4 linked regions of the Caenorhabditis elegans genome follow. The protein of the gene in region 3 purifies or fractionates together with the protein of the main gene of each other region. This does not show direct contact. Each region holds a gene or a part of one and is shown on either strand. Other genes may lie near its edges.

Region 1 (8,411 bases), on a different chromosome or scaffold from region 3:
CTGAGCAAGGATTCAAGAACCTCATCACCCTCAAGCTTGAAGCCCCACAACAAATGTACTGGAACACTGAACTTCGTACCGTCTGTGACAAATGGATCCGTATGTGCAAGGTTGAGATGGATGCTCGCCGCTCTCCAATGGAGCACGAGAACAAAGAATGGACTCTTCGTACTGAGCTTCTTGCTGCCCGCCCACAAATGCCATCATCCCTCCGTCAACTCCGTGAGCAACCACACCGTGAGGTTCAACTCGCATTCAATGCCAAGTGGGGATCATCAAAGAAGAGCGAGATCACAGTCAATGCTCAACTCGAACAATCCACGGAACAAAAGAAGTTCATCCGCAACATCGAGCGTGAGTACAAGGGAATTCCAGAGTACGAACTTTTGATCAAGGCTGCTCGTCTTAACCAAGTCAATGTTGTCTCTGAGTACAAGCTCACCCCACAGTCTGAATACACTTTCTCCCGCATTTTCGACCTTATCAAGGCATACAACTTCTGGACTGTTTCTGAGAAGCGTGTCCAAAACGAGAATCGCCGCGTTGTTCTTCAACTTTCTGTTGAGCCACTTTCCCGCCAATACATGAACATGACCATCCAGACTCCAGAACAAGAAGTTGAGTTGAAGAATGTTCGTATTCCACGCGTCGTTCTCCCAACTATTGCTCGTAGTGCCATGTTCCAACAAACCTGGGAAAAGACCGGAGCCACCTGCAAGGTTGACCAATCTGAGGTTTCTACCTTTGACAACGTGATCTACCGCGCTCCACTCACCACCTGCTACTCTCTTGTTGCCAAGGATTGCTCTGAACAGCCAAGATTCGCTGTTCTTGCCAAGAAGATCAACAAGAACTCTGAGGAGCTTCTCGTTAAGGTTGTCCGCCGTGAGGAAGAAATTGTTGTGAAGAAGTCTGACGATAAGTTCCTTGTCAAGGTTGACGGAAAGAAGGTTAACCCAACTGAACTTGAACAATACAAGTAAGCTTTAACTCTAAATCACATGAATTTTTCTAATCTCGTTTTTCAGTATCGAAATTCTTGGAGATAACCTTATTGTTATTCGTCTTCCACAAGGAGAGGTTCGTTTCGATGGATACACTGTCAAGACCAACATGCCATCCGTTGCTTCACAAAACCAACTTTGCGGACTTTGCGGAAACAATGACGGTGAGAGAGACAATGAGTTCATGACCGCTGACAACTACGAAACTGAGGATGTTGAGGAATTCCACCGGTCTTACCTTCTCAAGAATGAGGTAATCAGATTTTTTCAATGAACTGAATGTAAATTTCATTTTCAGGAATGCGAAGTTGAGAACGACCGCATCTCCGAGAAGAAGAACTACAGAAACAAATGGAACAGAGAAGAGAAGAAGTCCGACTACGAGAGCAGCTCCGACTACGAGAGCAACTACGATGAGAAGGAAACTGAGAAGGGTTAGTCTAAGGCTGAATGATGTGTAGTTTTAACAAAATACATATTTTTCAGAACTCGTCAAGAAGACCCTCATCAAGGAGTTCTCCAACCGCGTCTGCTTCTCCATCGAGCCAGTCTCTGAGTGCCGCCGTGGACTCGAATCCGAGAAGACTTCCAACAAGAAGATCCGTTTCACTTGCATGCCACGCCACAGCAAGAACGCTCGTCGTTTCTTGAAGGAAGCTCGTGAGCAAACTGTTGCCGAGTTGGTCGATTTCCCAGTCTCCTTCGTTGAGTCTGTCAAGATCCCAACCGCCTGCGTTGCCTATTAGATTTCATATGTTTTATTAATTTTCTATTAAATAAAGCATTTTCACTAGAATGATTTTTTTTCTCATCACTTCTAGAAAACAAATACACATGTTGTAAGGATGTCAATCGAAACACAGCTTTGCACCAATAGTTTTTATTTACGCGTGTATTTAAGGCTTCGAAGGAGATGATAGTGCTTGCAGTAAACACGAAAATTAGTGATAATTATGAAAATCAATATAATTTTAAGGATACTTAGAGGGCAATCAAAAAGCTTCTCGACTTAAAAAGGTACATTCCAGAACTTGATATTCGAATCTTGTCCGGCCGACACAATTGTAGTTTCGTTGAGCCAAATTACCGAATTGACAGACGACATAGCATGAGCACCTATAAAAATGTTGTTAAATGTGTTAAATTAATAGAGAAATATTTACCTTTAATGATGATCGGATGATCAGATGGTTTGTTCATGTTCCATACAATAACGCTGTTATCCAAGGAACCGGTCGCCAAACGGACATTGTCCGGTGACCAGGAAACACATGCAACCTTGGCGGTATGGAAAGTCCAGGAGTTTGTGTGAGCTAGCTCGAAGTTGTTCGCAACAGAGTACGGGATAACCTGAATTTTGAAATCTATAATAGAAATGATTTTTTTTCAAAAACTAACCTTTCGTGATTGATCGGTTGCCACGAGGAAAGCTCCATTATTCGAAAATGCGACAGATGTGATTTCAGCAGGATGGACAATTGTTTTAACTTCAGAGACACTTGCTCCAGAGAGTTTGTACACATGGACCTTCGAGTCTTGTCCACCAACAGCAACAAATTGCTTATCGTTCGATAATGCCACACAGGAAGAATTGTAGCTAATTGGTACTTCCGTGAGCTTTCCATGAGAGTAAATTGCAATATGCTTATAGCAAGCAGCAACTGCAATATCTCCATCTGCGGAAACGGCGAGACCGAGAGGTTGCGAAGATAATTTGTTGGCAACAGCTTTGGAAGAATCGACTCCAGAACCTCCGGCAGGAACAACCTTCAGATGATCATCCCAACTGACGGTGAACAAATCACCCTTGCTGGTTGTCTTGATTCCGGTGATCATTGTGGCGTGAACATCCGGAAACACGCGGTTTGATATTCCTGTGGAAATATCCCAGGAGTCTGAAAACAAGTTTTAAATTTCGAAGCACTGAAACTACTCACTAATATGTCCTTCAGCATCAGCACTGAAAAGAGTTTTTCCATCAGCGCTGCTGCTAAGTGCAGTAATCGCCTTGTTGTGTCCGTATCTAACCTGATCGATACTTCCCAATTCTGGATTGACAAAATTGATAAATCCATTAGCAGAGATAGACACAAGAGCCTGCTTGGTCCAAATGATTCCAAGTTGTTGATCTTCAATTCTAGTTCCAACGGGAATAGTCTTTTCAACCTTTAATGTAGCCACATTCCAAATTTTAATGGTCTTATCAGCAGAAGCCGATGCGATTTTTGTACCATCCGGGCTCCAGGTAAGGCCAAACACAGATCCAGAATGAGCGACATTTTTCAAAGAGTCATCTTCAAAGACTCCGGTTTTTGTTCCATCAACTCCGTTGTATAACACAATGGTTCCATCTCCTCCAGTCGAGGCGAACAGAGAGCCATCAGGGTTGTAGCGCACAGAGTGGACGAATTTCGTATGTTCTCCGAAAGTCTGGAAAAATTGGAAAATAAATTTGAAACTGGTTTTTTGTCTGAAAACGTATTTGGAACACTCGAGTCATTTAAAACAAGTTTCCTTCTATCAAAATTAAATCTCTGTTAGAGTTGCACTGACAATAAGCTACTGAAAAGATGTTTGCATTCCGGTAGTATTAAAAATTCACGCATACGTTCAGGTTTTTTTCTACATTATTTGTTGATAGTTTCTGAAAAAAAAGTTCGCTCAGTGTTTTTTTTAATGTTTTATCAAATAAAAAGCATGAAACTTCAGCGAAAAGCTCACGCGAAATTATCTTTTTTGGAATTAAAAAATACAACTTAACACAAACCTAATAGAATAACATGTAGTATTTCGAAATACTTTAAGCGGAACCTTTGTGGAGAATTTTCAAAAACTAATCCAATATTACAATCACTTACACTTTTAAATTTGAATGGTGGTCCTTCAAAAATCGCCACTGTATTATCATCAGATCCAGAGATAATGCGGAATGGGCGTGATGGCTTGAAGTCGACGCTGTTCATAGCGCGAGCTTGTCCGGTAAGATTTCCATTAGACGTTCCAGTGTCAAACAAGAAAACATGACCGAAACGTTCTCTGCCTTCTCCAACGGCGGCAATTCTCTTACTTTCGCTATCCCACGAAATATCCTTCACTGGTCCAGAGAACACCGGAATAGTAGTTTTCAGAATGTGGGTGGTTTGAGTTGTGTCCCAGATACGAACATTTCCATGAACATCACCAGAAGCACAATAATAACCACTTGGGCTTGTCTTGGCGACAGTCGTTTGGTGAGAATGCTCAGTGTAGATTTCGGTGTCGGTTAGGCTTCCAACTGGTACAGTATAAACCGATGTTCCGTTACAATATTGAATCTTGTCTCCAGCGGGGGTGTTGCCTGGAAGTATTTTTGTAAAACGTGATTTAGCTTTCCTATTAACCGTTTCACTTTGCACTTTTTCTGTTGCCAAAGCGTCTCACTAATACTTAAATATTTCATCAATGATTTTTACTATTTTTCGCACAATTGACAAAAAAACTACAGTAACAACAAGCGCTACAGTAGTTTTTTAAAGGATCAATGTGGTTTTCGCTACGAAATACTTTAAATATGTTGCGCAATATGAATTTTCAGAATTTTCTACTTTTGCAAGTGAAGACTAATTATTTTAAAGAAACAATTTATCTGAAAATTAGTATTGCAGCCATATTAAAATATAATGCAGCCATACGGCTTCAATTTCTAGTATTAAATAGTAAAATCACCGTGCAATTAAAAATATAAAAACTCACCGAGAACTACGGCAGTTCCTCTAGCAGTGCGAGGCAAAGACGGGAACAATGCGGTTTGAGAGAATTCCGACATTCTGCAAAAATTGTAAAAATTGAGCAGGAATCCAAAAGATCGAAGGAAGAAAATCAATAAAATCAAACGAGAGCATTGAGAAGAAATAGTGACGACAGCGGGTGAGGAACTAATGAGGGTGCGGAAGGACAGCGGTCACTGGTCACTAACAAACAGTGCGCGCGGCCGAGATGGGGTTTCCTAGGCCGCAAAGATTGAACAACTGTTTTCTTTGCTTGAAATATATAAGTTTTTCGACGGAATTTTATAATTGAAATTTTCTTTTTTTTTTCTAAGAAAAAATTATTAATTTGGTCGATCTATTTTTGTTGATAACGAAGAACAATGCGATAGTTATTTGTGACGTGAAAAAAGTGAATAAGTGTTATTGTTGTGAGAAAGAGGAGGTCAATAGAAAACGGGGCCCGCCGGCTCGCCGGGTGGAAAGCATTCGACAGCAAGACGTGTTTTTCAATCTGCGACTCGGCGATTCCCATCATCACTCGACAATCGAGAAACGGAGGTTCACGCAAACAGAGGATCGGCTGTAAACTCCTCGTTGCTCATCGACCGCTTTTTTTATTATTAGCCGTCACTGGAAAAATCGATAAACCTGCGGGGGAAGCTTTGGGTGAAAAACACGTTTTTTTTTCTCGAACAACATGTCGAAACAAAACAAAATAAGAAGAAAATTGGTCGGGTTTTGCAATAACTTTTCGAATGAGAAATGAAACATTTTCTCGATGAGACAACTCACCAAGCACATGTGATTCATGTTGCATACACGTTAAGGAGGGGCTGACTAAGCGAACTATAGCCTTATCGCAACAAAAAACGATTTTTTTCCTCCCTTTTCTACTTTTCTCGTATGAATTTGTGCAAACTAGAATATGATTCCCCGTGAGTCACCGGAAGAGCTAAATTTTCAATATCAATATATTCATTAATATAAAAAAGACATGTTATTATTTAAGTCCAAAAGTATTTTTGAATAAAGAGTACTACAATCCAAACTACATACTAAAAGCTTATAAAAAATTGCTGACAACTTGGCTTCTCGAGATGTTTCAATAGGAATATTCGAAAAACAAGTAGATCATAAAAATTTGTATATTTAATTTTTTAAAACTGTTTTTCTTTCTCTAGAGCCAACATATTTGCAGGATTCAAGTGTGTGCAGCAATTCTGTGGAGTATGGCCAGTGGGAAAAATTTGAAATGTTTTTTCTGGCAAAAAAAGCTTCAATCGGTGATCAACTTTAAAAAAAAGATTCTAAAAAATTAAGTTCACACGAAAACTTTTTTATCTGAAAAATAGCATTCAATAAAAAAAAATCATGATAAAAATGAACGAAAATGGATAAACGTGAAATGATAAAAACTCTAATTATTCTTTCTCGAGTTCTTCGCTTGATAAGAGGCAACACGATGCTTATGAACTCCGAGCATAACAACAGGGACGAAAAGTACTTTGAAAAACCAAAAGGAGAACAATGTTCCAAGGGCAACCTGAAATTTTGCAATATTCAGACCACTAAGACACCATTGATTTTACCTGAACATCATGTTGCACACAGCCCGTTGTGATTTCCCAATTAGTCCCGATAATTCTGACAGCTTGTTTGGCAAAGTTTTCAGGGGTGACAACGAAGATATTGTTCGCTTCTTCAGCTTCATACGAGGCGACCTTGGTAGCAACGAGCATTGGAATGAGACACTGGAAAAATGAATAAACTTACACTTGAGTTTTTTTTTAAAGTTTGTGAAGAAAGATTTTGAGTTAAAATACAATACGTTTAACAATAAATTGAATCAGTTCTGGCAAAATCATTACATGTAACTGGTTACGTTTAGACGTGCGACATTTAAATTAAAAACTCCGTTGTTGTAAGTATTAATATATACATTTTATAGAATACAAATTTTCAGATAAGCATGTCATTTGACAGCTCGTTTTTCGATTAGGTATCTACAATTATTCAAAATGCAAGAACACAACTCAAAAGCTTTCTGAAAGTATTTCAGTGCATTTAAGGCTGTTTAACGAAGGCTCTATATATTTGAAATTTTGAATTTCAATTTTGAATGCCTTGAAGGAATATTTAAAACGTATTGGACAATAAATCGGTAATTGTTAAGATTTAAATTTAAAGTGTACCTATTGAAAATACGTACCTGAACACGAATTCCAGTTCCTCGGTATTCATCTGACAAGGAGTCGGAGAAGAAGGATAATGCAGCTTTGCTAGCCGGGTAAGAACTGAGGTACGGAAGCGGCCTCCAGCCCTGGAAGTATATGATTAGTAAATCTCGGAAGTTACGGTAGGTAGGTAGGTAACGGTTGGTAGGCGCTTACCGTCATTGATGAGATATTTACAATGATTCCTCGCTTTTTCTTCACCATGTTTGGCAGAATCATCTCGGTCATCTGAAACAAAGCCTTAATTTGGAAAAGTATCAGAGTATTGAAACCTTAACAGCAGACATCAGGTTAACACGAAGAATCTTGGACGCCAATCCTTCTGGCAGCTCGGTCAGTGTTCCAATGATATGTGGAGCAATTCCGGCACAATTGACTGTAAAAATACATTGTGAAAATGTTGGAAAAAATTGCTTACTCAAAATTCCAACATCTAAAGTTTCGAGATCCTTGGGGAGAGCTGACAAGTCGTCTTTTTCAAAATCATGGACATGGCACATAACCTCGCATCCATGTTGCTCCACTAGCTCCTTCTTGGTGTTGTTCAATTTGTCGATATTGCGGCCAATCAGGTAGAATTTTTTGAGCCCTCTTGTTTTGCAGAGTTCTTCAATGTACGCTTTTCCAATTCCATCGGTTCCTCCAGTAATCACTGTAGCAATGAATTTTGAATTTCAGAACATGATTCAACTATATTGTTCAGGCAGCTTTAGCCCAGAATAGTATTTTATTCAAAATAAAATATAAAAATATAACATACCAGTCCAGGTATCCTTCAAGTAGTCCAAGTCGTGTTTCGGTGTGATAAAATGCACAAGTACACTCTTACACATAATGTACAGAAATTTGAGAACTCGGACGCACACATATGAAGTAACGGCAAACTGTGCGGCACTCCATAATGCGCCTGACATCTGAAATTTTAGAATTCTTTGAAAAAAAAACAGTTGGTGACAAGACAAGAATGTAATAATTTGGGTCAGAAAATGCAGGAGATGAGAGAAATGTAGCAAACATTGACACAGATAGAAAACCTTTTATGAGTAAGAGTAAGAAGAACAGTAGCCTGCAGAAAGGAGGATAATGAGCGGAATGATCCAAGGCCGCGTGTCGGCGCACACAGGAACTGTGTGCGGATGACCTCGTCGTCCCTCCATTTTAGGGGGGAAAATGGGGGGGGGGGGGACGGTCAGATTGATAGTTTTGGAGTGTGTGTGTGGAAACGGACGTTGTCCTATATGACGAGAAGAATGCAATCACCAGCGGCAACAGCATACAGTGGAGATTGGTATATGAAATGTTTGACGCAACAAGTGACCAAGTGTAAAAAGATATTTCTCGTTCTTTTATTGGATTCGTAATACTTATTGTCTGAAGTTCCCACAGTTCCATTGAACTAAATCTGAAGATTATGCAAACCAGTT
Region 2 (7,960 bases), on a different chromosome or scaffold from region 3:
ATAAATAGTTGTATTCCTTTTTTTCCAGAAAAATTAATTTGAAACCGAAGTTTTACTCTGAAAATGGAAAAATAAATCGATTTCGCTTTGAAAACATAGCGACTTTTAAATAAATAAAGTTGGGTACGGTAATCGTGGCGAGACCCACGCAATAGAAAAATTCAACGCGCCTTCAAATGCGCGCGATTTTTAGAATTTTCAATTTTATAAAATTACCTCATTTTTAATATCAGTCATTTTTCCCGTGTTTTATTTCTTTCTACGCGAAATTTTCTTTCAAAATCATTTTCGACATTTTCAGAAAATGAGCCGACGAGCAATTCTTCGTCTGCTGCTCGCGCTGCTCGCGTTCCACTCGGCTGCGGAGGCGGCTCACTCGCCCGTCGCCGAGGTTGTGGGAACCGAGCAGTACCTGCTCATCGCGCAGCAGGACAACTACAGATTCGCCGAAGCGAACGTAGAAGCGGGACAATGCCCGCGGGTCATGGAATCCCCGAAAAGGTTTGTTTTGCCGGAAAATTTCGAAAATAATTTAACAAATGTTAATTTTCAGCGAGCCTATTCCCTACCGCTTTGTCGGCGTTCACCTGGTCCGAGATCCGGATGGCATCCATGCGCCGAGGGTGTTGACTGTCACAGAAGACAGTCTCACCTACAATATCAAGATCACGGATTTGCATGTATGCTTATTATAGTGGTTGAAGTGTTGAATTTCGTATTTTTTAGATGTCGAATGGCTTCGAGAAGAACTCCGGGAAGCGGGAGGAGAACATTGGGTCAAGAGAGTCGATCTACCGCGAAGACGGGGCTCGAGGAAAGGCGAAGAGAAATCTGGCCCGTTCAATGTTCGACACGACTCGACACATGCTTTACCTGGACTTTTCAGCTCCTCCATTCTACGATATCGAGCAAATTTACTTGCATGGCATTTTCAGCGGTAATCACTTGCTTAATAAGCCTGCCTTTTAATCATAATTTTTTATTTTCAGATCGATTCGACAAGCTGCACATCGCAAAGTACACTGGCCACGCTGTGAATGGACTGTTCGATTGGGTCGAGGATCCATACACCGATGCAGTTTACTACAAGGAGCGAATTAATGGCCACGTGGAGATGTTCCAAGCAAAAATCAAAGATGTCGTGCCGATTATCACCGGAAAAATGGCTGGACGACGAATCGAAAATTCCTTGTTGAGCGGCGAACTCCAAGGTGTCTCGAACGGAGTATTCTACGAGACGAGTGTGAGAGATGTCAACGAAACGCATCAGACCCTGTCCTCAACGCTGACAACACTCGATTCGGAATGGAGTATCACTTGTAACGCGGAGACGATTTACAGTGTTGTTCCGAAGACCAACAAGCTCCTCATCATCAGGTTTTGAAGAAATCATCGATCTTCGAATTTAATATTCATAATTTCAGGGCCAACGATTATTGCATGTTGAGAGATGGAAAGAATTACAACAAGGAGAGCTGTGAAAACGAGCAGGCAGACTACCTGGCTCGCAATAATCCGTCTGAGGTGAGCTGGTTGTGTTGAAGAAATTTATAAATTAAATATATTTCCAGACCGACAGCAATGTGAACGCGATGATGTGGCTGATCGTGTTCTGCGTCGTCTTAATCCTTCTCGTGATTCTCCAGTGCGTCTACATCTTTTGGCTCCGATCGTCCTTTGTCTCGGCTGACGAGGCCTCTCATCATCAGGATCAGGAGACTGAAGCCTCCATCTTCATCGCGAAACAGCGCAGCTTCCCAGCGAGTTTCCATGAGCCAGGACTTTTGGATGTCTCCGTCGACAAGTGGAATTAAATCATTTTTATTTGAATTTATAGCATTCTCGTTCTTTTTCAATCTTTTCTAGCCTTCTATCCTTCTAGACACTAGACACTGTCATATTCTCATCTCATAATTTTTAATTTTTTACTTTTTTTTTTGTCACATTTCCTAGCACTTTCTGTTTCTTTTTTTTATATAAAATTAAATATTCCGCATTTTTATTTGTTTTAATTAATGATCTTTATCTTAACGTTGTTTATTCACCAACACTATTTTATTTTTGTATTCGAGTTTTCGAGACGCATCGATCACGTTTCTCCAAGTGCACACGGGTCAAATGGTGGGCAGTTGCAGGTCTCTCCACGTGCTGTGGCCGTCTCTTAGTCTCTTGCACTATCACTTTTCCCACTCTCTGACTCTTTTTTATTTCTTTTTCTTCTTTTTTTGCTGAGAGAGAGAGAAAAGCAACTGTTCTTCTTCTTCTGTCCTATTTGCCACTCCTCCCGTCGTCTTATCAACAGCATTGAAACTTCAAAAACTCGCAGATAGAGCTTTTAACCTTTTAATTTTCAATGTTCGCGTGTATTTTGTGGCTTATTTTATTTATTTCTTAGTTCAAAATTCGAAACGTGATCAGTAATGTTTAGTTTTCATTCATTTCGCATTATCCGAATCGTCAGAACCACCACGCGACCGCCCATCTCTTGTGATTTTCAATTTTTCTTCTCGTGCGTTTTCAGTCATTATCTTCTAATTTTCAGCTCTAAAACTTGCGGTACCCCAGAATGTTGTCTCGTCTTGCTCGTGTTCAGGTAGGAGTTTCTTTTTATAATATTTTTTAACAAAAAATCGTGTACTTCACACATCACTTGCAGTCTGTGCGACAGTTGTCGTATGGGGTGACACATTGAAAAAGAAAACGAAAATCAAACAATCAAAACTTCAAAACTTCAAATAATATTCTAATTTCAGCCAAAATGCCAACAGCTCGCCCACTTCAGCACATCGAAGTCTGCTGCCGCCGCACCAGTGAGTTTCAGGCTTGATCTTAAGTTTCCAAATCCAAATTCCATAATTTTTCAGACTGTCAAGCTGTGGATCGATGGACAAGCTGTTGAATCGAAGACCACCGACTTCGTGGAGCTCACCAATCCAGCCACCAACGAGGTCATCGCTATGGTGCCAAACGCCACCCAAGCTGAGATGCAAGCCGCTGTTGACTCGGCCAAGAATGCCTTCAACACCTGGAAGAACACGTGAGTCTTGAATCCCGTGTGATCTTTTTTTTTTATTTCAATAATAGAAGTTTCCAGATCCCCACTGACCCGTCAACAATGCATGTTCAAACTTCAAGCCTTGATCAAGAGAGACATGAAGAAGCTCGCTGAGAGCATCACCATTGAGCAAGGAAAGACCCTTCCAGATGCCGAGGGAGACGTCAGCAGAGGTCTTCAGGTCGTCGAGCACGCTTGCTCCGTTCCATCCCTGATGATGGGAGAGACCCTTCCAAATGTCTCTCGCGACATGGACACCCACTCCTACAGAATCCCACTTGGAGTCACCGCCGGAATCTGTCCATTCAACTTCCCGGCTATGATCCCATTGTGGATGTTCCCAGTCGCCTTGGCCACCGGAAACACTATGGTCATCAAGCCATCCGAGCAGGATCCAGGAGCAGCTCAGCTTCTTGTCGAACTTGCCAAGGAGGCCGGAGTTCCAGATGGATGTGTCAATATTATTCACGGACAGCACTCTGCTGTTAACTTTATCTGCGATAACCCAGATATCAAGGCTATCTCATTTGTTGGAGGAGATGCTGCTGTAAGTTTTTTTGAATTTGTTTTTTATGAACATTAATCAATTTTCATGATTTTTTCAGGGAAAACACATCTACGAGCGTGGAGCCAAGAACGGAAAGCGCGTCCAATCCAACATGGGAGCCAAGAACCACGGAGTCATCATGGCTGATGCCAACAAAGAACAGACCCTCAATCAGCTCACCGCTGCCGCCTTCGGAGCCGCCGGACAACGCTGCATGGCTCTCACCACCGCTGTGCTCGTCGGAGAAGCTCGCGCCTGGCTCCCAGAACTCGTCGAGAAGGCCAAGAACTTGAAGGTCAACGCTGGATGGAAGCCGGATACCGACATCGGACCACTGATCTCCAAGCAATCCAAGGCCCGTGTCCTCCGTCTTATCGAGAGTGCCAAGAAGGAGGGAGCTCAGGTTCCACTTGATGGATCCAATATCACTGTTCCAGGATTTGAGAATGGAAACTTCGTGGGACCAACGATTCTCGCTGGAGTCAAGCCAAATATGACTTGCTACAGAGTAAGATTTTGTTTTTTTTTAAATTTGTTTAATTTAATATTTAATTTTTTGTAGGAAGAAATCTTCGGCCCAGTCCTTGTCGTCATGGAGGCCGAGAACTTGAACGAGGCCATCGAAATCATCAACAACAACCCATACGGAAACGGAACGGCCATCTTCACCAGCAACGGAGCCACCGCCAGAAAGTTCACCAACGAAGTCGATGTCGGACAAATCGGAATCAACGTGCCAATCCCAGTTCCACTCCCAATGTTCTCGTTCACCGGCTCGCGTGGTTCATTCCTCGGAGATCTCAACTTCTACGGAAAGGCCGGAATCCAGTTCTACACTCAATGGAAGACTGTCACTCAATACTGGAACGAGTCGCTCACCGAGCTGAAGCCACAAATGTCGTTCCCACAGCTCAAGTAAATTGAAATTCTGTGAATTCTGAATTCTCTCATCCATCCCCACACACAATCACTTCTTGGTTCTTTTATTCTTGTTCAATAACGTTTATTGCCATGGTTTTTTGCAACCTCTCATTTCTTGTTTGTTCATATATAATACACATTTTATCATAAAAGTGACGATTAGACCCGTAAATGGAATGGGGGAAAATAATCACAGTTCAGAGAGAATCGTATTCGAATGATTGAAATCATAATCAAAACGTGGATAGTAACTATTCGGATCGGCAATCTGTTTATCATTCCGTTTGGAACGAGCCGCCGTGGGTTCGTCGATTTCCAAATCCGATTCCTCATCCTCCTCACTATTTGAAGTTGGATCTAGCGTGACGGCGATTATGATTATACCTGGAAAATATAAAATATTATTGGGACGTAGAAAAAATGCCCAATCAACGTGAAAACGCCCTCCACGGCAAATTGAAAACGCTCCGCCTCCTAACCGTGGGTCTCATTAGGTATTCTACCAAAATTCAGCATTTTCAATTAGCTTCAAGTGGTAACTTTCAAGTTACCAGTTTTTCCTAACGAGACCCAACTATTTGAGGCGGAGCGGTTCCAATTGGCCGTGGAGCGCATTTTCTGCGTCTTCATAATAATCTAACCTGTGATAAGAAGAGCAACACTGATAAGTGATACGATAAGCACCAATGCTACCGAAACGGACATCGACTGTGGTGCATTGTTGTTGAATGGACTGGCGACCGTCGGCGACGGGATCGCGCTGTCCAGAATTCGGCGGGCTTCCTCGTCTGAAAAAATATTTTGAGGAATATTGTTGAATTTTGTAATTTTTTCACCAAAAAATACGGTACTGCTAGGGTCTCGACGCGACCGGAAGTTTTCTGCAGGAAAATTGTGTGCGCTTTTAAAGACTACTGTAGTTGTGAAATTCTCGCTGAATTTTTCAAAATCGTATTTTTCATAAAATATTGATATATTTCAGATTTTGTAAAAATTCATTTGCGAAGATTGCGAAATAACGGGAAATGGGTTACTGTAATTTTAAAGGTGCATACTTTTTGTTGGGTAGATTTGAAAATATTTTGATCGCGTCGAGACCTTTTTTTTATGAAAAAACGTAATAACTTATAATTTTCGATGTTTTTTTAACTCTAAATAAGTTTTATAAAATTTTGCGCCTTTAAACAACTGGTTACTATAACGAAATTTCGAAAAAAGCCTACCATTTGCATCAAAAGCGATCACAATTTTGGAATTCGCATGTGAGACGGCCAAATAAATGAAGGCGACAAAAATGAAACAGGTCAGTAGAATAATACGAACCACGCAACGCATTCAATCATGAGCAGGTGCTGAATGTTATGACGATCAATCTGGAAATTGAGATGGAATTTTAGGGAAACAAAATGAATTATATCTCCTTTCCCATTGTAGGTAATAAAAAAATGTAGAAAATGTAGAAAAAATTGTGTACTACATTTTTCCAGTTGACAGTTTTTGTCTACCTAGCCTGGCAATAAAGTTATGAGCGTTTGAAGACAAGAAGAATTTGTCATACGAGAGAGGGGAAAGGCCGTCGTCGATACATAATGAATATTGGCCCAATCAATTCGGAAGTCCCTACTTCGCATACAAAACATATGGACTCGTCGAAGCAGAACGGGACTGCTCAACTCGGAGCACACATGCACACAGAGCAGGAGAGAGTCCATTAATTTTGCGGCGGGCGCCTCGCCTTTTTCTCTTTTCTCCTTTTTCCCTAAAACATTCTCGACTAATGATGAATGGGAATGACAGGAGAGAATGCAAATCCGTTCGGGAAAATGGGATTTTTGGAAGAAAATTGGGTACGGGTACTGTAGCTTCTAATCCTAGGTTATTAGGGAAAAAACGGGGCTCTGTAATTTGTTTTTCAATTTTTAGAATAAGGAAAATAAGAAAATAATTAGGATCTGTATTAGGCTTTTGACATAGGCTAGGCTTACGATTACGTTTGGGCTTGGGCTTAGTCTTAGGCTTAGGGTCAGGCTTAGGCTTAGGCTTAGGCTTAGGCTTAGACTTAGGCTTAGACTTAGACTTAGGCTTGGGCTTAGGCTTAGCAATGAAGCCGACGATAAGGTAAATTTATATAAAAGCCAATGTTATAAAACTCGGCCACTGTCTTTTTGTGGCTGTTAAAAAATCTATGTGGCCGCGAAAAAAATTAGTGGCCGAGTTTTTCTTTCTTTCACAAAACTGATATCAAGTTCCTGTTTTCTCAAGTTGCTAAATTGCCATATTTTCGCGGACACGTAGCATTTTATTAGTGGGCGTGGCCAAACGAGACTCCAAATGCCGTTTTTGTTTTGGCCTGGTAATCGCAATCCCGTCGGGCCGCGGAAGTGAAAACTCGGCCACAATATTTGCTTTTTGTAATCAGTCAAAAAACTCGGTCATCGATTTTATTTGCGGCCCCGTAAGTGGTGAGTCCAAAGCGAAAAGTCGGGAAAGTGCAAGAAGCGAAATTAATTTAATAAAAAAAAGGGACAGAGTTCATCAAATTGAAAATTCGATAGACTGACAAAAATGACTTTTTTTGAGGAATAGGAAATAAAAGTTAATTAAAAAAGTTTAGAGCTTTTGCGAAATGGCCGAGTTTTCGCATGAACACGCACTTTTCAGCAGAAAAAAGTACAGACTAATGGAAAAATATTCAAATTGTTCGCACGCATGTGTAGGAGTATTTCCGATAATTGTGTCAAAAATCATATGCAACTTTAGGTTTCAAAAATTTCCAAAAATATATGAAAACTTCCGAAGAAAAATTTAAATTTCCAATGAGAACATTTCAAAAATTCTGCAAAAAAACCGGAAACCCCCGCTCGGAAGTTGTGATATCTGCAGTTCGCAACAAAAAATAGATAGCTCCACGCCCTTCCATTTCCGGCGGCGGGAAATTGAGTTTGAGTTGTTTTGGAATAGGAGGAGGAGATGAGAATAGACATACAGATAATGATCATGTTCTTTTAGTTTTTTAGTTCGGGGTTTTCGGCGATCTAGGCATACTGATAAGGTTATATACATTTTGGAAACTGACTCGGCCATTTGGGAAATTTCAAAGTTATTGCCAAAATAGTGAGTGTTCGAAAAATTAAGTTTTATATTTAATTAGGAAATCATGTGCATATTTATAATAATGATTACTTTATTTTATTTTAATTGTTTTAATTTTGTGATTAATATTTTGTTAGTTTGTTTTGGAGATAAATTATTTTAAATTAGAAAAAGCACATAATCGGCCCAATTTTCTCCGAAAAATTTTCATATCTGGTCAGTGGAAAAAGTTATCAAAAAGTTGCCAACTAAGTAATTGTTGCAAATTTAATTTTAAATAGTTTGATAGTTATTATTTTTTTACAAAAAATTTAAGCACAAATATCATATTATAACGTTCCAAA
Region 3 (7,531 bases):
TTTTAATACCCTAGGGCTTTGATAATAGAAACCATTCCTGTTTTTCGCCTCCTTTCTCAATTTTTGGGTGAGTTTACGAAATTCTAATTTTCTAATTTTGATCAAAGAATAAAATAGGAATTGAGGATTTAGGCCCAAACCATGCAGCGTTTTCCTTGAGGCCAAGCAGGTGTTTTGGTTCCTGCATGGAACGCTTAGAATGCCAATTCAACAAGTTAATATAGAAAAGATTTGAAATGCTCACAATTTTATCATTAACACAAGGTCAACAAATCATTCAAATTATTCCTTGGCGGTTCCAATGACAATTCCACGGCCACCTCCTCCGTAGTTGTTTCCACCACGGCAACGATGTCCAGAAACGGCGGCAATTGAGAGAACGGCGAAAATGAAGATGTTGTAGAAGTTCATACTGAAATTTTCAGATTTTTGAGAAGACTTGAAAGTGAGAATGCTTACCTTGACTCGGTTGACTGAATCGTGACTTTTCCGACAAACCGGGATGTTTTATAGTAGTCTCTATGCGTGAAAGATCACCCCGCAAACAGGGAATCAAACTCCGAAGCTATAAAGTTTCTTTGCACAGTTTTGCAAACTCATTGTTTTACTTTTGTGTTGAATCAAAGTATATATCGAAATCGGAACAGGAGAATCTGAAAAATAGAAACAACGTTGTTTCTAGCTAACTGTAAGATTTAATTTTTAAAAGTGTTCGATTTGTGTTCACATCTGTTTTATTAGGCGCGAGACAGGCGTAGGCTACCTGAAAGGCCAGCGCATAGGCGTCTAAATAGAAATCACATTGGAAAGTTCTGAAGGGAATTTACAGTAATCTAAAAGCGCCAATTAAAATTTGGTCTAAGTACACTTACATATAATGATCAAAAATGGCCTATTACCATTAAAAATCACTTCAATTTGTTTTTTTCTGATATTTGAAAACTCTTAATTAAAGTTTTGGCAAAATGCCAAATTTTCCAAAAATGTGGACTTTTTGAAAAATGTAGAGCAATTTGGCACGTTTGAACCTCAAAAGTGTTTGAGTACAAATATTTGAACAGAATTTAAAATGATTTCTTAAAAAATTGATTAAATTGGTCAACTTCCGAAATTATAAGTAGCGAAAATGATTTTTGATTGAAAACTAAATGAATTTCAATTTTTTTTGAAAAGTTTCACTATACTAATTGGTCATTTTAGAATCAAAATGGTGCCATCTAATAATTTTCCATGAAAAAGAATATGAGAGCTTGGTAACCACGTTGTCCAACCAATTAATAAAACCTCAAACTTTTCTTCAACGACCCTATCAATCCTTTAGTTCTCAATATCCCGGCTGCTCCGTGAGCAATTATTTTCCCATCTAACCAGATGTGTTCCTCCTGTATCGAAAATGATTTATTACCATCAATTGAATCGCACGTTCGGAACATTTTGACATGTGTCAACGGGAAGGGTAAATTATTTGAAGAACTTTGGATTGAAAAAAATTAATGAAAAAAATTTTGAAAATAAATATTGTAAACCACAATTTTCATAACTTTTCACTTTATTTTTGAGCTTTTGCTATTCAAGTTCTATTATACAGTAAATGTTTAAACTTTTTTGTTGTACTAGAGGTCTCGCAACGAAAGACTCAGTTCTGACACGCGCCTTTAAGGAAAGAGTACTGTAGCAATTGATCGCTTATGTTTTTTTTCTGCTAATTCTTGCTAGCAATTGCTGGGTTTTTCATTGACTTCAATGAATTTTTTGTTTACAAACCGCGTTTTTACTTTTTTTTTATTCCCAGAGGTCTTGCAATGTTGAAAATCTCACGTTTACCAAACAAAAGCAAACGCGCTCTGTTGCACACTGCCGCCCGGCGACCCGTTTTCGGGTTTTTTTCAGCTTCTCTTGTGGAATTTTATCATTTTTATTGATTTTTTCTGCAATACAATGGAGGTTCAAAGTCTTACAATAACCACGAATTATCCGCCGAAACCCGCATCTCCAAATCCGCAGGGTAAGCATTTTGGGTTTTTAATTAAAAAACTATCAAAGTGCATTTTTAACAGATATCCGTGACACAATTCGCTCTAACAAAACCAACGAAAACCTTTGGATACAGAGAAAAGATGTTGACACGACTTTGCGAAGTGCGCTGGAACATCTGAAAGCCTGCTGCATTGTATTGAATTTATCGGCTAAATGCGATGAACGTTTGAACGTTGCCGTTAGTCATGGAACGACTGAAAAATATCAGCTAATGTCGAGAACTGGTAGCTCTGATAATCTGAAGGTGAGTATTTGATTTCACAACGAAAAATTTCGGAAATTCGTCGGCAGTCTTTAAAAAAAATAATCGCCCTTAATTATTTTCATAAATTTAAACATTTTCGCCTCATCTATAAAACTGTTTCAGGCAGCAGTCACACTTCTGGACGACAATGTTATTCAAGCTGAAGTGACCGTAAAGTATCCTAAAGCTGGTGGTGGATATTATCGAGCAGTCGCACAACCCGACGTCCAATGGAAACTTCAACAACTTCAGGATCTTGGAAATCACATTTCCAGAGTTACAATCACTCTCTGCGATTTACAACATGAAGTTAATTTGTTGAAAGGAGATGGAGAACGAGATGCTTTCACTCTGGCTACCGGAGCACGTATTTTGGAGGAACTCAAGCTCACCATGAATGAAATATCATTGGCTCGAAATTCAATTATGTTACCTAGAAAAAGAAGCCTGTTGGAGTTGTGTTACTTCCCACCGACCCGGAAATTTGTTCCACCTCTTCCTCAAGATCAACTAATCTCCTTCTATATTTCATGTTGCCGCTTGGTATGTTTTAAAATGCAAATTCACAATAATCAATACACATTTTAAGGTTTGTGCATCCTACCAAATGGTTCCGAAGACAGTTCATCCACAAGGCCTCTCAGTGTTCATGGCAGAATCTCAACTTCCACACCTCGACGATGTCATCAAGCATCTGAATACAGTGATGGCAATCTTGCAGAAACTAATTAATTATTTATCGGCTACTATGTCGTAGAATATAATTATTAGAAAGGATTGTATAACAATAGTGAGGACAATTAGATGATACTTCTTTAGATGTGTACATATTAATTTATTTCCCCGGATGTTCATATATTTCAAAGTTGTGTAGTTATTTCACTTTCCACCAACTCGTCTTGTTTCATTCCACCCATGCATTACTATATTTTGGTCATAATTTAGAATGTCATTAAAAATATTTAGATTTATGTTTGAACTGATTTTTACAACATTTAATCCATCACGGGTTTAATATCCGAATTATTTCATTTTTGATTTTCCAATTGATCTCAACTTGTGCGGGAGAAGAGAAAAGCTGTATATTTTCTGGATTTATTGCATATTCTCCAAGATGAACCATGCCGAGTTTGATTTGCAATTATTTATGTAACCACGTGGTTTCTTCAACTTTTCGAGATTTTTGATTCCGCAAAATCGGTTAAAGATCATAATAATTTTCGCCACGCTTCAACTGATTTGACCTTCACACACAGGCAACAGAAACCCTTGGAAACGTGAGAAACTAGTTCGTTTCTCTGTGATCTCTGAATTTTTCATTATCTAACTTCTTCTCTTAATGTCTGCAGTCTCTATGTTACAGGGAGAAATGCTTGCTCGTGGAGGCGCCGTCATTGCCCGCGGAGCGTCTCTTGCCACTGCCCGCAATTTTTCGCGCACCACTGTTCCAATGGCTAAGGTTTGTTTTTTTGTCTGATAACAACCATATAAAAGTTCATAGGCAAACAAGTAATGTAATTGAGTGTTTCGGAGATATTTTAGATAGAACTGAACGATCAAAACATATTTAGTTTCGAACATTCTGTCTACATCATGAAATGTTCTGAAATGAAACACAATTCAAAATAATATACTCATTTGACAATATTTAGCATTTTTAACAGTATCTATATGCAAATGAGTTTTTGTAGATTCGTAAGGAACGAGATACTTTCGGAGAGCTCGAGGTTCCAGCCGACAAATACTATGGAGCCCAGACCGCCCGTTCCCAGATGAACTTCAAGATTGGAGGACCAGAAGAGCGTATGCCAATCCCAGTTATCCACGCTTTCGGAATCTTGAAGAAGGCCGCCGCCCTTGTCAACACCGAGTTCGGATTAGACAAAAAACTGGCTGACGCGATTTCCCAAGCTGCTGATGAGGTTGTTGACGGCAAGCTCGACGAGCACTTCCCACTTGTTACATGGCAGACTGGTTCAGGAACTCAGTCCAACATGAATGTCAATGAGGTTATCTCGAATCGGTAAAAACTAAAAAAAATTGTTTAAAGATTTTATTGAATTCATTGCAGTGCTATCGAGATCCTCGGAGGAGAGCTCGGATCGAAGAAGCCAGTTCATCCAAATGATCATGTGAATATGTCCCAATCATCAAATGACACATTCCCAACTGCTATGCACATTGCCGTCGGACGTGAAGTCAACTCTCGTCTTCTTCCAGCTCTCAAGAAGCTTCGCACTGCCCTTCACAACAAGGCTGAAGAGTTCAAAGATATCATCAAGATTGGACGTACTCACACCCAAGATGCTGTTCCACTCACTCTTGGACAAGAGTTCTCAGCTTACGTCACACAGCTTGATAACTCTATTGCTCGTGTTGAATCGACTCTTCCACGACTTTATCAATTGGCTGCCGGTGGAACCGCTGTTGGAACTGGACTCAACACGCGCAAGGGATTCGCTGAGAAGGTTGCCGCCACTGTTTCTGAACTTACCGGATTGCCATTCGTTACCGCTCCAAACAAATTTGAAGCCCTCGCCGCCCATGATGCTCTCGTTGAGGTTCACGGAGCCCTGAACACAGTCGCAGTTTCCTTCATGAAGATTGGAAACGATATCAGATTTTTGGGATCTGGACCAAGATGCGGACTCGGAGAGTTATCACTCCCAGAAAACGAACCAGGAAGCTCCATCATGCCAGGAAAGGTCAACCCAACTCAATGTGAAGCCATCACAATGGTTGCCGCTCAAGTTATGGGAAATCAAGTTGCAGTCAGTGTAGGAGGATCTAATGGACATTTCGAGTTGAATGTTTTCAAGCCACTTATCGTTCGTAATGTTCTTCAATCAACACGTCTTCTTGCTGACAGCGCTGTGAGCTTCACTGATCATTGTGTCGACGGAATCGTTGCTAACAAAGACAATATTGCCAAGGTTTGTTAGTAAATTTAGCGGAAATTTATAGACCTGATTAAAGTATAAGTAGATGATAAATAGATTTTTCATTTCAGATTATGCGTGAATCACTTATGCTTGTCACTGCTCTCAACCCACACATTGGCTACGACAACGCCGCCAAGATTGCTAAGACTGCTCACAAGAACGGCACCACCCTTGTCCAGGAAGCCGTGAAGCTGGGAATCCTTACCGAGGAGCAGTTCGCTCAATGGGTCAAGCCAGAAAACATGCTCGGACCTAAGTAAAGTGTTGAAGCATCAATATTTAGTAGGCACATCTTCGTTTAGTCAATCAATGTCCCCAAATGTTCAGAATCTCTTTGCCCATCCCACACCCAACCCGATTGATTCGTTTGTAATTATTTTGTTTTATTCAGTGTTTTTCCATAGATAAAACCGGAACATTTTCTAAATTTAAAGTTGGATTTGTAATTCTAAGTTGATCGCCTTGAAAGCTTAATTCGACATCCGGAGAACACGATAGCCGCTCTCTCAGGTATCGCATTACTTCACACCGTCGAGAGGAAAATGGTTTTGGTATTAGACCTGCAATTGGAAGAATTCAATGAATAACTAAACATTAAAATTGAACTTTACCAGTTATGGTGAGTTCCTGAATAGCTCCTTGAGGTAGATTCTCATCTAGAACAGTAATAATATTCGCAGTTTGTAACCGTGACACATTAATATGATCAGGATGATGGGAATCATTTCTGTAAAGAAGGAAATAAATACTTATTTGAAGAATTCCAACTCACTGCCTTCTGAAAATTTCTCTCCAATATCGATCAGTTATCTTGGAAAATTGTGTATTAAAAGTTTGCAGATCAACCATCGATAGATTCCGTAGCTCCATGACGTCATGCATTTCTAGTACTGGTTTTAATGTGTCAGAGAACTTTCTGAAATCAAAATTGTATATAACTCAGACGAAAAAATTTGCGATTTTTCGCCAAAGATACGGTTCTGGGGTTGACACGCCTTATTTGCTAAATAAAAAATGGTGTGCTCTTTTAAAGGGTACTGTAATTTCAAACTTTGGTTGCTGCGGAGTTTTCATCGATTTTTCATAGTTTTTCGCTAAAATTATCTTTATTTATTAAAAATTGATATAAAACAATATAGAAAATTTTTAAAAATTTAATGTGAAAACAATCTGAAAATTCCACAGCAACAAAAGTTTGGAATTACAGTACTCTTTGAAGGCGCACACCCTTTTGTATTTGGCAAAAAAGGCGTGTCGAGACCGGATACCGTATTAGACTCTTGAAACATACCTTCCTAATAATAAGCTTTTTGTTGGTGACGAGATACTTTTACGCTTATCTGTCCTATTGTCTTGAATATTTCGTTTCTCAGGGAATATTATAGATTTTATGAAAATTGAGAACATTATTGAAACTAGCACTGCACAAAACATTTGACTAGAATCCATTTTCTAGACAGCCGAAGAATCTGAAAATATTATTTTCAACAAAGAAATTCAGAAATCGAACTTTTAATTTAATTAACAGGAAATTGAGAAGAACGGGAAGTGGTCACGATTAAATAAACACGATTTTTCACAAGAAGAGTCCTAATCGTTCTTATCACCAAATAAATTCGTGCAACCCATAATTTTTAATTTTTAAAGACGATTAGTGTCAAGAAAACTACAAACATTACCACGAAATGCGGATTCCAGGAGTATTAGTGACTGATTTTTGAGTTACTAAACATTTGAAGCAAAAAATTATGTTTAGTTCTCTGGAGAATTGAAGAAAAAATCAGGAATACAGTTATTCGGGAATTGTAGGCTCAACTATTACAATCCTGGTTCTACTGAATGTGGAACATTTCGAAAATTAATATGTGCCTTTGAGGAGTAACTACGGTACTCAGTATCACAGGCAAAGCGGGTACGGTCCGTTTACGGATCTTGGACCGGGAACGGACCATTAACGGGCGAACTACGGATATGAAAAGCGGGACGGACCAATTACGGGCAAACTACGGGGAATGTAAAAAATGGCCATTAAGAGGAAAAAATGGATTTTAAGAAAACGATTTTTTTTAATATTACCGGTACAGAGAGTGTAGATAGTTAGAGAGTGACAGACATCCGGGACCCAATGGGGCGGGGCGCGCGGAAGAGACGATTTGTGTCGATTTACGAAGTTTTCCTCGTTGTCATCATTTCGTAAATCGACACAAATCGTCTCTTCCGCGCGCCCCGCCCCATTGGGTCCCGGACGTCTGTCACTCTCTAACTATCTACACTCTCTGTACCGGTAATACCTATGATACCAGTTGGC
Region 4 (8,502 bases), 2.4 Mb from region 3:
TGTTGGTGTTCGTAAATGGTTTATTGTAGGAATTGGGAGAATAAAGATGATGACTTCGGTCTTTTAAGTTCTAAGATTATAAAGAAAAAACATATTTTGAAGAAAATATTCTTCATTGTAATGAAAAAAAACTTCTTTTTGGTACTTTATTTTTGTGTTATTGGAGAAAATAAATTATTTTACTCTCACAACTTTTTTTAATTGAAGGAAGTTTTCAAGGAAGCATGTTCACCTAGTTCAGATAATCTCAAGAAATTGGTTACTGGATATTAAACATAAACAAACTTAAATCTGCAATGACAGTGACATTGTACAAAAAAGGAACGCGAAATTCAAAGAACTAATCAGAGCAGACAACCAGAGTTGTGGGTGTCTAGGTTTTTTGTTAGTTTTAAAAAATTCATTTTTGAATCCTTTATTCAAAGTTCATAGTTCACTTCCAGAGGTGATCCAAATAAAGTGGCTGCTCTGAAGGCCGAATCAAATGAAATCGAAGGTGGAAATACAATAAAGATGGAGGTATGATTGATATCACGAAGACGTCTAAAGATTATAATTTTTGTCACATCTTATACGCAAAGATCTTATACCCCTTAATCTTATACCCCGAGAGCAGCAAATTACTGTAACGAGGCACCACAAAAATGAGAACTGCGAGAAGGAGAACTTCGAAAGGGAGAGCAGTAACTCGTTGTCTCAACCTTTGCGCGTAAGATATGGCCAAATCCTTATCTTAAGACGACTACGTATCAGCTGAGCAAGAAACGTATCTGAAAATTTCAGGATCATGTCCTGAAGAAGCTGAATGCCAACGGACCAGCTCCGCACATCCCAAACTTAAACTTATATGGAAAAAAGATGAATTTCTCCTATATGGTCATGACGTTATTGGGGAGAAATCTCCAAGACCTGGAATCAACGAATTTTGTTGTGAACAAAGGATTTTCACGTGGAACATGGAGCCGTGTTGGAATTCAATGGGTTTATGCATTGAAATATGTGCACTACAATGGATTCATCCATCGTAATGTGAATACACAAAACTTATTTTTGGGAAATGAGAAGGATAGTGAAAGAGCAAAAATCATTCACATCTTGGATTTTGGTCTTGGAAGACCTTTCGCTCGTTATGTAAGTTAAGCATTAAAACTTCATAGTATTTACAAATAATTTCAGCATGCCCGAGAGAATAAATGGATTGTACGTATAGCTCGTCATTCTGCAGAGTTTCGTGGGAGTTTTCGTTACGCGTCTCCGAATGTCCATCTCCGTAAAGAGCAAGGACGAGTTGACGATGTATGGTCACTGCCCTACGTCATCATTGAGCTCAACGGCGGAAAGGCACTCCCATGGCAAACCGATTATCGACGCGGACGTGTGGAGCAAATGAAGCTGAACTTGACGCCAAAGGATGTCATGTCTGATATGCCAGCTTGTATGGATAAATTGATGCCTCATTTGGCTTCCCTCAATTACTACCAAAGACCGGATGATCAGTGAGTTTTCTATATTTCCTATCCATTTATACGATTTAAATTTCAGCATGATCTTCAAGTGTTTCTGGCAAGTCATGGAGAACGAGAAGATCACTCCAAGTTCAAAGTTCGACTGGGAAAATGAGGAGCCTGATGTAAGAATTTCCTTTGAGTTCTCAGAATAATTCATTCTTCCAGATGTCTGTTCCACCTGCAGCTTGGGAGAATCCAGACGGACGCTACTTCCAATCCAATCCTCTTGAAATCAACGGCCCACCTACTCCAGCCGAAGTGGATTTTGTTCTTTAAAAGTGGGAAGAAGCTTGAAAACTAGAGATATATGAGATTTGAATAAAGGACTAGAAAATGATTTTGTTTTGCTAAATTAACAAAAACTATGAATCCTCAACTACAGTTGGCTCCTCCTAATAGTTCATCATCTTAGAGCTAATGAAGTTCTGGCGTCCAATATCTTTTGGCAGATTTCAAAAAAAAAAACGAACATAGATCTTTCGGATTCTAAGTTTAACTGGAAGAATTAACACATTTGTTCACTTCAAGATTCATCTGGTTTCATTGTTGACAACATGAACCTTCGAAATTGTTGGTTAAAGTTTAACATTAATTTTGTTTACAGCTCCAATAGTCTCTTATGGAAAACAAAATTTAATATTCTATCCTACAGTCCTTTCTTTTCAACTGTTATTTAACATTTATGAATCATGTTCCATTATGACCTAAGACATATTGTGGCCTATACAAATTGTGACCTATGACATATTATCATTACTTTCAAACAATAATCTTCAAGCGACCCGTGCTTCTCATGCTTGTGAAATGCTGAAATGCTTTTTTATTCAACTGTATGACATTTTTCAAACATGTGCAGAGAAACTTGAATGCTTTCATTTTCTCAAAAGATTCCCACGGCTGACGATTTTTTTCTTGAAGCCCGAAGCCTAATTGATATGATAAAAAAAACTTCAGATTTTCGTTACATTCGTCCTTTTTTTCTTGTTACTTCATTAAGCCAAGTGTTGACTTTGTAACTGCTTTCTCTGGAGTAGAGTTTCTAAAGGTTCGTAGTGTCTCGCCACCAAGCGCGCTCTGTTGAGCAAGGGCACCGCGCCAGTTTCGAAGTTTCTTTCTATTTTAAAAACATTTTTAGCTCTTTTTTTCGGATTTTCTCGCAGTTTGAGAATATTTTCCTGAATGTTTATCTTCCGTTTGAATTAAGATCGCGTTTCCTCTCAGAATTAAGTTATATCTGTCAATAAAAACAAATCTCAGCTGAAATGCTTGCACGTTTGTTTATTTTCTGCTGGTTTTAGGCAGGACTAACGATGAATCTTGTTGTTAACCACTCTGTTTATATTTGATAATTCTTAATTTTGTAGTTGATTTCTGCTGAAACTATTCCTGTCTCTGTCGTTCAATCTTTCCAAAGTTTTTCATTTATCATCATTTCCAAAGATCCCATCTCGACATGGAAATATTAAATGGTCAAGGGTTAAATCATGTTGTGCAATACTTGACTATTCTTCAGGACTCCAAAAAATTCTCATTATTTTGTGCTGGTTCTATTCGAGCACGTGCTTCTTCATCTTTTTGTTTTCGAAGATGTTTCGTTGAAGTATATTTGTGTGTGCAGTTCTCTGCATCTCCGCCTTTTTGACTCCTCCTCTGTCACTTTTCAACCATCGCTCAGTGTTCTCTTATCTATTTCGACCCTAACCATCGAGGCTGGCGTGTTTGTCCATTCTTTTCATATCTAATCTTTAGTTTTCTCTATTTTGTTTAGAGTTGAATTTTTGGAAGAAGATTAGTTAATCGATTTTGAATAATTTTGTCAGAAGTCTCTGCAATACTGATATTCACTTTTTGCCACAGTTTTTAGATATACTGATTCGATGTTTCCGAATTACCACTGGAACTAGTTTATTTTCTATTTAATTAAAATTTAAAATGTTCTATGAAGAAACGAGCTGCTGTGAACTCACAATATCTAACCTCATTCACCTGTAAATTTTTATTTTGCGTCCTCTTTCTAATTTCTTTAAAATCTTGCCTTATTCGGGTAAATCCTTTATAATTTTTATTTTCAGAATGCTCCGTTCAGCTCTCCGGGCAACAGTTCAGGCACGAAATGCCTCCGGTGTTCCACCAGGTCTTTCCAACATGAAACCACAATACACCGGCGTAAGTTTCTCAGAACGTTGTTTTAAAAAAATTGCAAAAAAGATAGGAATCACACAGGATAACCTTGAAAATGGAGACAATGTTGAGAGAGACTCTAATTTGAATTTTGAAAGAAAAAATTACGGAGCCCATTGGATCGCCAATTTCTAAAAACGTTGATTTTCAAGTAATTTGTGTTTAAAGAAAAAGAAAACAAAAGTGGAAATTGTGCATCGAATCTTATTGGTTTTTCTCAAAAATCCGTATTTTCCGCGAAATTCAAAGTTACAAGAACATCACATTACGTGCGCTTTGAAACCGCCGTTATCAGAAACTGCAACAGAAACCAAAAAGATGAATTTGAACCTTTTGATCTGTTTTTCTGCTGCAAAAATGTTCTCTTCTCATGTTTTCATTACATTATTTCAACGGAACCACGTGCCCTCAACGTTGTGCTCTGTTGTGTACCTAGTACACAGAGTACGATCAATTTAAAATGATGATAATAAAAAGAAAAAGAAGAGAGCTGATACTATCTCATAGGGAAAACGTGGTCGCCTGAGGTGGAGAACGAAATGAACAATGAACTCGGTCAACAGTGAGATAGGGCAATCAAAACTGAACGATGATCGGATTTGAGAAAATAAACTTAGAGGGCAGAATTAGGACGAAATGTGATACTTCTCCAAATCAGGGATTCAAATTTCAAAAAAGTTTATATCTAAATTTCCAGATCTTCATCAACAATGAATTTGTGCCAGCCAAGTCTGGAAAGACTTTTGAGACTATCAATCCAGCCAACGGAAAAGTTTTGGCTCAAGTCGCAGAAGGAGATAAAACAGATGTCAATATCGCTGTCAAGGTTTAAATCTAAATTCGAATTTTAAAGCAATCTTCAAACTTTTCTAGGCTGCTCAAAATGCATTCCGTATCGGCAGTGAGTGGAGACGAATGGATGCTTCTCAACGTGGAGTTCTTCTGAATAGACTAGCTGATTTAATGGAGAGAGATCGAGTTATTTTGGCATCTTTGGAATCTTTGGATAATGGAAAGCCATATGCAGTTGCTTACAATGCTGATCTGCCACTTTCTATCAAGACTCTTCGGTGAGTTCGAATAGCATAAATTGGAGAATTTTGCTGTAAAAAAATCCCAAAATAGTCTGTAATTAAGAAGAAAACTCAGAAAAAACGAAAAACTTTACTGCCAAATGAGCAAAGAGATCTACAAAAATAATTTCGAATTCTCAATTTTATGAGAGAAAAAAATCGAAAAACAAAAATTTTTGATTGTCCGGACAACCGTAAATCAAAAAAAACTGTTTAGAAAATTAACAGCCAAAAAATGCAATTTTTTGAATCAAATTTTGTTTGTATTGATGAGAAAAATTAAAATTTATTGTAAAAAAAGGAAAAATGGCTAACATTAAAAAATAACTTTATTACAGTTATTACGCCGGATGGGCTGACAAGAATCACGGAAAGACTATTCCAATCGAGGGTGACTACTTCACTTACACTCGTCACGAACCGGTGGGAGTCTGCGGACAGATTATTCCATGGAACTTCCCACTTCTTATGCAAGCTTGGAAACTTGGACCAGCGTTGGCTATGGGAAACACAGTCGTTATGAAGGTCGCCGAACAGACTCCACTTTCAGCCCTTCACGTGGCTGCTCTCACAAAAGAAGCTGGATTCCCAGATGGAGTGGTTAATATCATTCCAGGTCAGTTTTGTAAAAATTGTGAGTTTCTCAAATAAATAAATTCCAGGATACGGACATACTGCCGGACAAGCTATTTCGTCGCACATGGATGTTGACAAAGTCGCTTTTACTGGATCAACTGAAGTTGGAAGACTTGTTATGAAGGCTGCTGCAGAATCGAATGTCAAGAAGGTCACTTTGGAACTCGGAGGAAAATCACCAAACATCATTTTCGCTGACGCTGATCTCAATGATTCCGTTCATCAAGCCAACCACGGACTCTTCTTCAATCAAGGACAGTGCTGTTGTGCCGGATCCAGAACATTTGTCGAAGGAAAGATCTATGATGATTTCGTAGCTCGTTCCAAGGAATTGGCCGAGAAGGCTGTTATCGGAGATCCATTTGATTTGAAAACTACTCAAGGACCACAAGTTGACGGAAAGCAGGTTGAGACTATTTTAAAATATATCGCTGCTGGAAAGAAGGATGGAGCTCAATTGGTGACTGGAGGAGCCAAACACGGAGATCAAGGACACTTTGTGAAGCCAACTATCTTCGCTAATGTTAAGGATCAGATGACTATTGCTCAAGAAGAAATCTTTGGACCTGTTATGACTATCATTAGATTCGACACAATGGAAGAATTAGTTGAAAAGGCTAATAACACTATTTATGGATTGGCTGCTGGAGTTATGACTAAGGATATTGATAAGGCACTTCATATTGCCAACGCAACCAGAGCTGGATCTGTCTGGGTTAATTGTTACGATGTGTTCGATGCTGCTGCTCCATTCGGAGGATTCAAGCAGTCCGGTAAGCTAATTTATTATTAAAATTTCTCCATGCCAAAGTTAAAAAATACTTTTTCTTTTAGGAATCGGTCGCGAACTCGGAGAATATGGTCTTGAGGCATACACTGAAGTAAAGACTGTCACCATCAAGGTTCCACAGAAGAACTCATAAATTTCTTGAATTTTCGCTTTCCCTGTAATTTTTGTTCCTTTTGCTTTTTTTTTTGAAAAATGTTTATTGCTCTTAATATACGTGTTGTATTTATCTATTTTTCACATATATTGAAAAAGAATTCTGAAAGAAATAGACACCTACAGGACGACTCATAAAAGTCTCGACTTCTTTGTGAATTGATTGATTCAGGACAAACGAATTATTACTCTGTACATTAGAGGATCAGTCGTAAAATCTTCAAAAGGCAAAAATTTTACGAGCTTCCGGTAGGTTACGCGAAATTTTAAAAAAAATTTGGAACGCTTCACGAATTTGCGTGTCATCCTTGCGCAGGGGCCATGCTAATCTTCTCTGTATTGTTCCAATTTTAGTATATGTTCTCGGAAGAACGAGACAGCCAGGACCAGTTGTTGCTTATATAGTGGCCACCTGCAAGGCGGCAGACATCTCGTGGGTTCCGCAATTCTCCGTCAAGCAACTCAAAAAGGGCAAGAATCGAACCAAAACTTGATACTTATTTCCGTCAATAACTTTTTAGCCAATGAATCGATATTAATAATTTTTTATGTGTTCGTTCTACATGTCATGTTTTAACAGGTAACAAAGTTTCAGAAAATTTGAAGCATTTCTAACGGAGATAATAGGCAAATTAGACAGCATGTTGCAGCACAATTATTTCACACACCTTAAAGGCGCACGCCATTTCACCGGCTGGTCTCGCAGCGAAGACGGCCTCTCCGTTATTTTCTCTTGAGGAAACGTGCGTTTCTGTGGTTTTACTTCACAAACAGTGCTTTTATTGATTATTTTTGAGTTTCAAATGATTAAATTACAAATTATGAATTTTTTAACCACAATAGCATATAAACCGCAGCCGTAAATCGATATTGTTCGACTAGAAATTCCACTTTTTCGAATTCAAATCTGCAAGTGTTCAACCATGTCATTCAATCATTATTGTCGGGTTTAAATTTCTAAAATTCTTCATAGCAATTATTAGGTTTCTTAAGACGTAAGAAAAACCTCATTTGTTTTTATTTTGTGAGTTTGTTTTATTGCTTTTTCTGATTTAAAAATCACAATTTTGTACTTTTTCATCAAATCACCTGATTTTTCTCTTTTTTTCTCAATTTTCACGTAAACAAGTTTGTTCCCCCTCCTTCTCCCCCCGCGTTCCGTTTTTCTCACAAATCTCAACTTCATTTCAAATTTTAAAGGTATCCGACATGAACCGTCTCGCTCAACCAGCTACCCGCTCGGTCGTCAAGACCTTCCAACGCAAATCCTCAGGATCATTTTACGGATCCAACAATGTCGAAGGATTCAAAGAGTCATATGTCACTCCACTCAAGCAAGCTCACAGTAAGTGTTTTTTTTTAAAATAAATAGTTTCTATTTTGATGTTCAAAGATTAAAATATATTTTTCAGATGCTAGCGAGACCTGGAAGAAAATCTTCTTCATTGCTTCGATTCCATGCTTGGCTCTTACCATGTATGCCGCCTTCAAGGATCACAAAAAACACATGAGCCACGAACGCCCAGAGCACGTCGAGTACGCCTTCTTGAACGTTCGCAACAAGGTAAAATATTCGTTTTTATCTTGAAATCTGCCATAGTTTAAAATTTTACTTAAAAAATGTTATTTAGCTTTCATGTCTTCCTCATTAAAGAAGTTATCGGCAAACTGTTTAAAAATGTCATCTTTCTGGCATTTTTCAAACTAAAAAGGATGACTGTGAAGTTTAATAATATTCAAAACGAATTAAAAAAAAAACAGTCGCTTTTTTGGAATTTTAATTTCTACAATCAAGCTTTTAAATGATTATACAATTTTATAATTTGGCGTTTTCTCAGTAATTAAAAAAAACGATTGGTCTCAATAAATTCCCAAGATGGTTAAAAATTTCAAAAAAAGAGTAAGAAAAATTTTAGCTAAATCTCCAATTTAGCCAACATGTTCTAGTTGCAGCTGCTGGAATACAGTTTTATTGAATTATTGTTTTGGTCTATCAGACTAAAATTGACCTAAATCGACGGAATAACGTAAAATTAACAACCAAAACATGAAAAAAGGATGATAATAAAATAAATACTCATTTCCGACGTTTGCAACACAGAAAAGTTGACAAAATTAAAGATTTTAGCAAAAACTTTCCTACTTTTTTGCAATTTAGAAT

The links.
Region 1: the proteins of fum-1 (region 3) and unc-78 fractionate together in Caenorhabditis elegans (co-fractionation; one large-scale study listed by BioGRID). This does not show direct contact.
Region 2: the proteins of fum-1 (region 3) and alh-8 fractionate together in Caenorhabditis elegans (co-fractionation; one large-scale study listed by BioGRID). This does not show direct contact.
Region 4: the proteins of fum-1 (region 3) and alh-1 fractionate together in Caenorhabditis elegans (co-fractionation; one large-scale study listed by BioGRID). This does not show direct contact.

Annotation. Positions count from the first base shown.
Region 1 is NC_003284.9:3,406,806-3,415,216, forward strand, and holds unc-78 (Actin-interacting protein 1), read right to left. Parts: upstream 4,811-8,411; 5' UTR 4,810-4,810; coding exon 4,737-4,809; intron 4,342-4,736; coding exon 3,863-4,341; intron 3,435-3,862; coding exon 2,942-3,434; intron 2,900-2,941; coding exon 2,403-2,899; exon of another isoform or gene 2,355-2,402; coding exon 2,168-2,354; intron 2,121-2,167; coding exon 2,014-2,120; 3' UTR 1,869-2,013; downstream 1-1,868. Other genes in the region: vit-5 (Vitellogenin-5), read left to right, coding at 1-979, 1,029-1,257, 1,303-1,438, 1,491-1,750; putative oxidoreductase dhs-27, read right to left, coding at 6,171-6,296, 6,343-6,504, 6,963-7,073, 7,144-7,215, 7,260-7,363, 7,406-7,639, 7,748-7,901. UniProt on the Caenorhabditis elegans protein: Induces disassembly of actin filaments in conjunction with ADF/cofilin family proteins. Regulator of actin organization in myofibrils.
Region 2 is NC_003280.10:11,726,513-11,734,472, forward strand, and holds alh-8 (putative methylmalonate-semialdehyde/malonate-semialdehyde dehydrogenase [acylating], mitochondrial), read left to right. Parts: upstream 1-2,542; 5' UTR 2,543-2,566; coding exon 2,567-2,593; intron 2,594-2,753; coding exon 2,754-2,810; intron 2,811-2,864; coding exon 2,865-3,037; intron 3,038-3,084; coding exon of another isoform or gene 3,085-3,094; coding exon 3,095-3,602; intron 3,603-3,660; coding exon 3,661-4,110; intron 4,111-4,164; coding exon 4,165-4,521; 3' UTR 4,522-4,686; downstream 4,687-7,960. Other genes in the region: F13D12.5 (uncharacterized protein), read left to right, coding at 305-501, 554-680, 727-937, 990-1,377, 1,425-1,524, 1,572-1,814; F13D12.8 (Col_cuticle_N domain-containing protein), read right to left, coding at 4,714-4,907, 5,165-5,311, 5,747-5,858. UniProt on the Caenorhabditis elegans protein: Probable malonate and methylmalonate semialdehyde dehydrogenase involved in the catabolism of valine, thymine, and compounds catabolized by way of beta-alanine, including uracil and cytidine.
Region 3 is NC_003281.10:7,461,985-7,469,515, forward strand, and holds fum-1 (putative fumarate hydratase, mitochondrial), read left to right. Parts: upstream 1-3,620; coding exon 3,621-3,740; intron 3,741-3,799; exon of another isoform or gene 3,800-3,949; intron 3,950-3,972; coding exon 3,973-4,304; intron 4,305-4,352; coding exon 4,353-5,214; intron 5,215-5,291; coding exon 5,292-5,483; 3' UTR 5,484-5,610; downstream 5,611-7,531. Other genes in the region: fipr-20 (FIP (Fungus-Induced Protein) Related), read right to left, coding at 283-411; H14A12.3 (Protein rogdi homolog), read left to right, coding at 1,939-2,005, 2,058-2,281, 2,405-2,824, 2,871-3,038; H14A12.5 (tRNA-synt_2 domain-containing protein), read right to left, coding at 5,611-5,783, 5,835-5,950, 5,996-6,105.
Region 4 is NC_003281.10:5,074,185-5,082,686, forward strand, and holds alh-1 (Aldehyde dehydrogenase domain-containing protein), read left to right. Parts: upstream 1-3,580; 5' UTR 3,581-3,581; coding exon 3,582-3,674; intron 3,675-4,386; coding exon 4,387-4,515; exon of another isoform or gene 4,516-4,562; coding exon 4,563-4,759; intron 4,760-5,100; coding exon 5,101-5,378; intron 5,379-5,424; coding exon 5,425-6,171; intron 6,172-6,232; coding exon 6,233-6,321; 3' UTR 6,322-6,477; downstream 6,478-8,502. Other genes in the region: Inactive tau-tubulin kinase ttbk-6, read left to right, coding at 514-519, 784-1,131, 1,177-1,496, 1,543-1,630, 1,674-1,784; cox-6A (Cytochrome c oxidase subunit 6A, mitochondrial), read left to right, coding at 7,551-7,686, 7,754-7,905.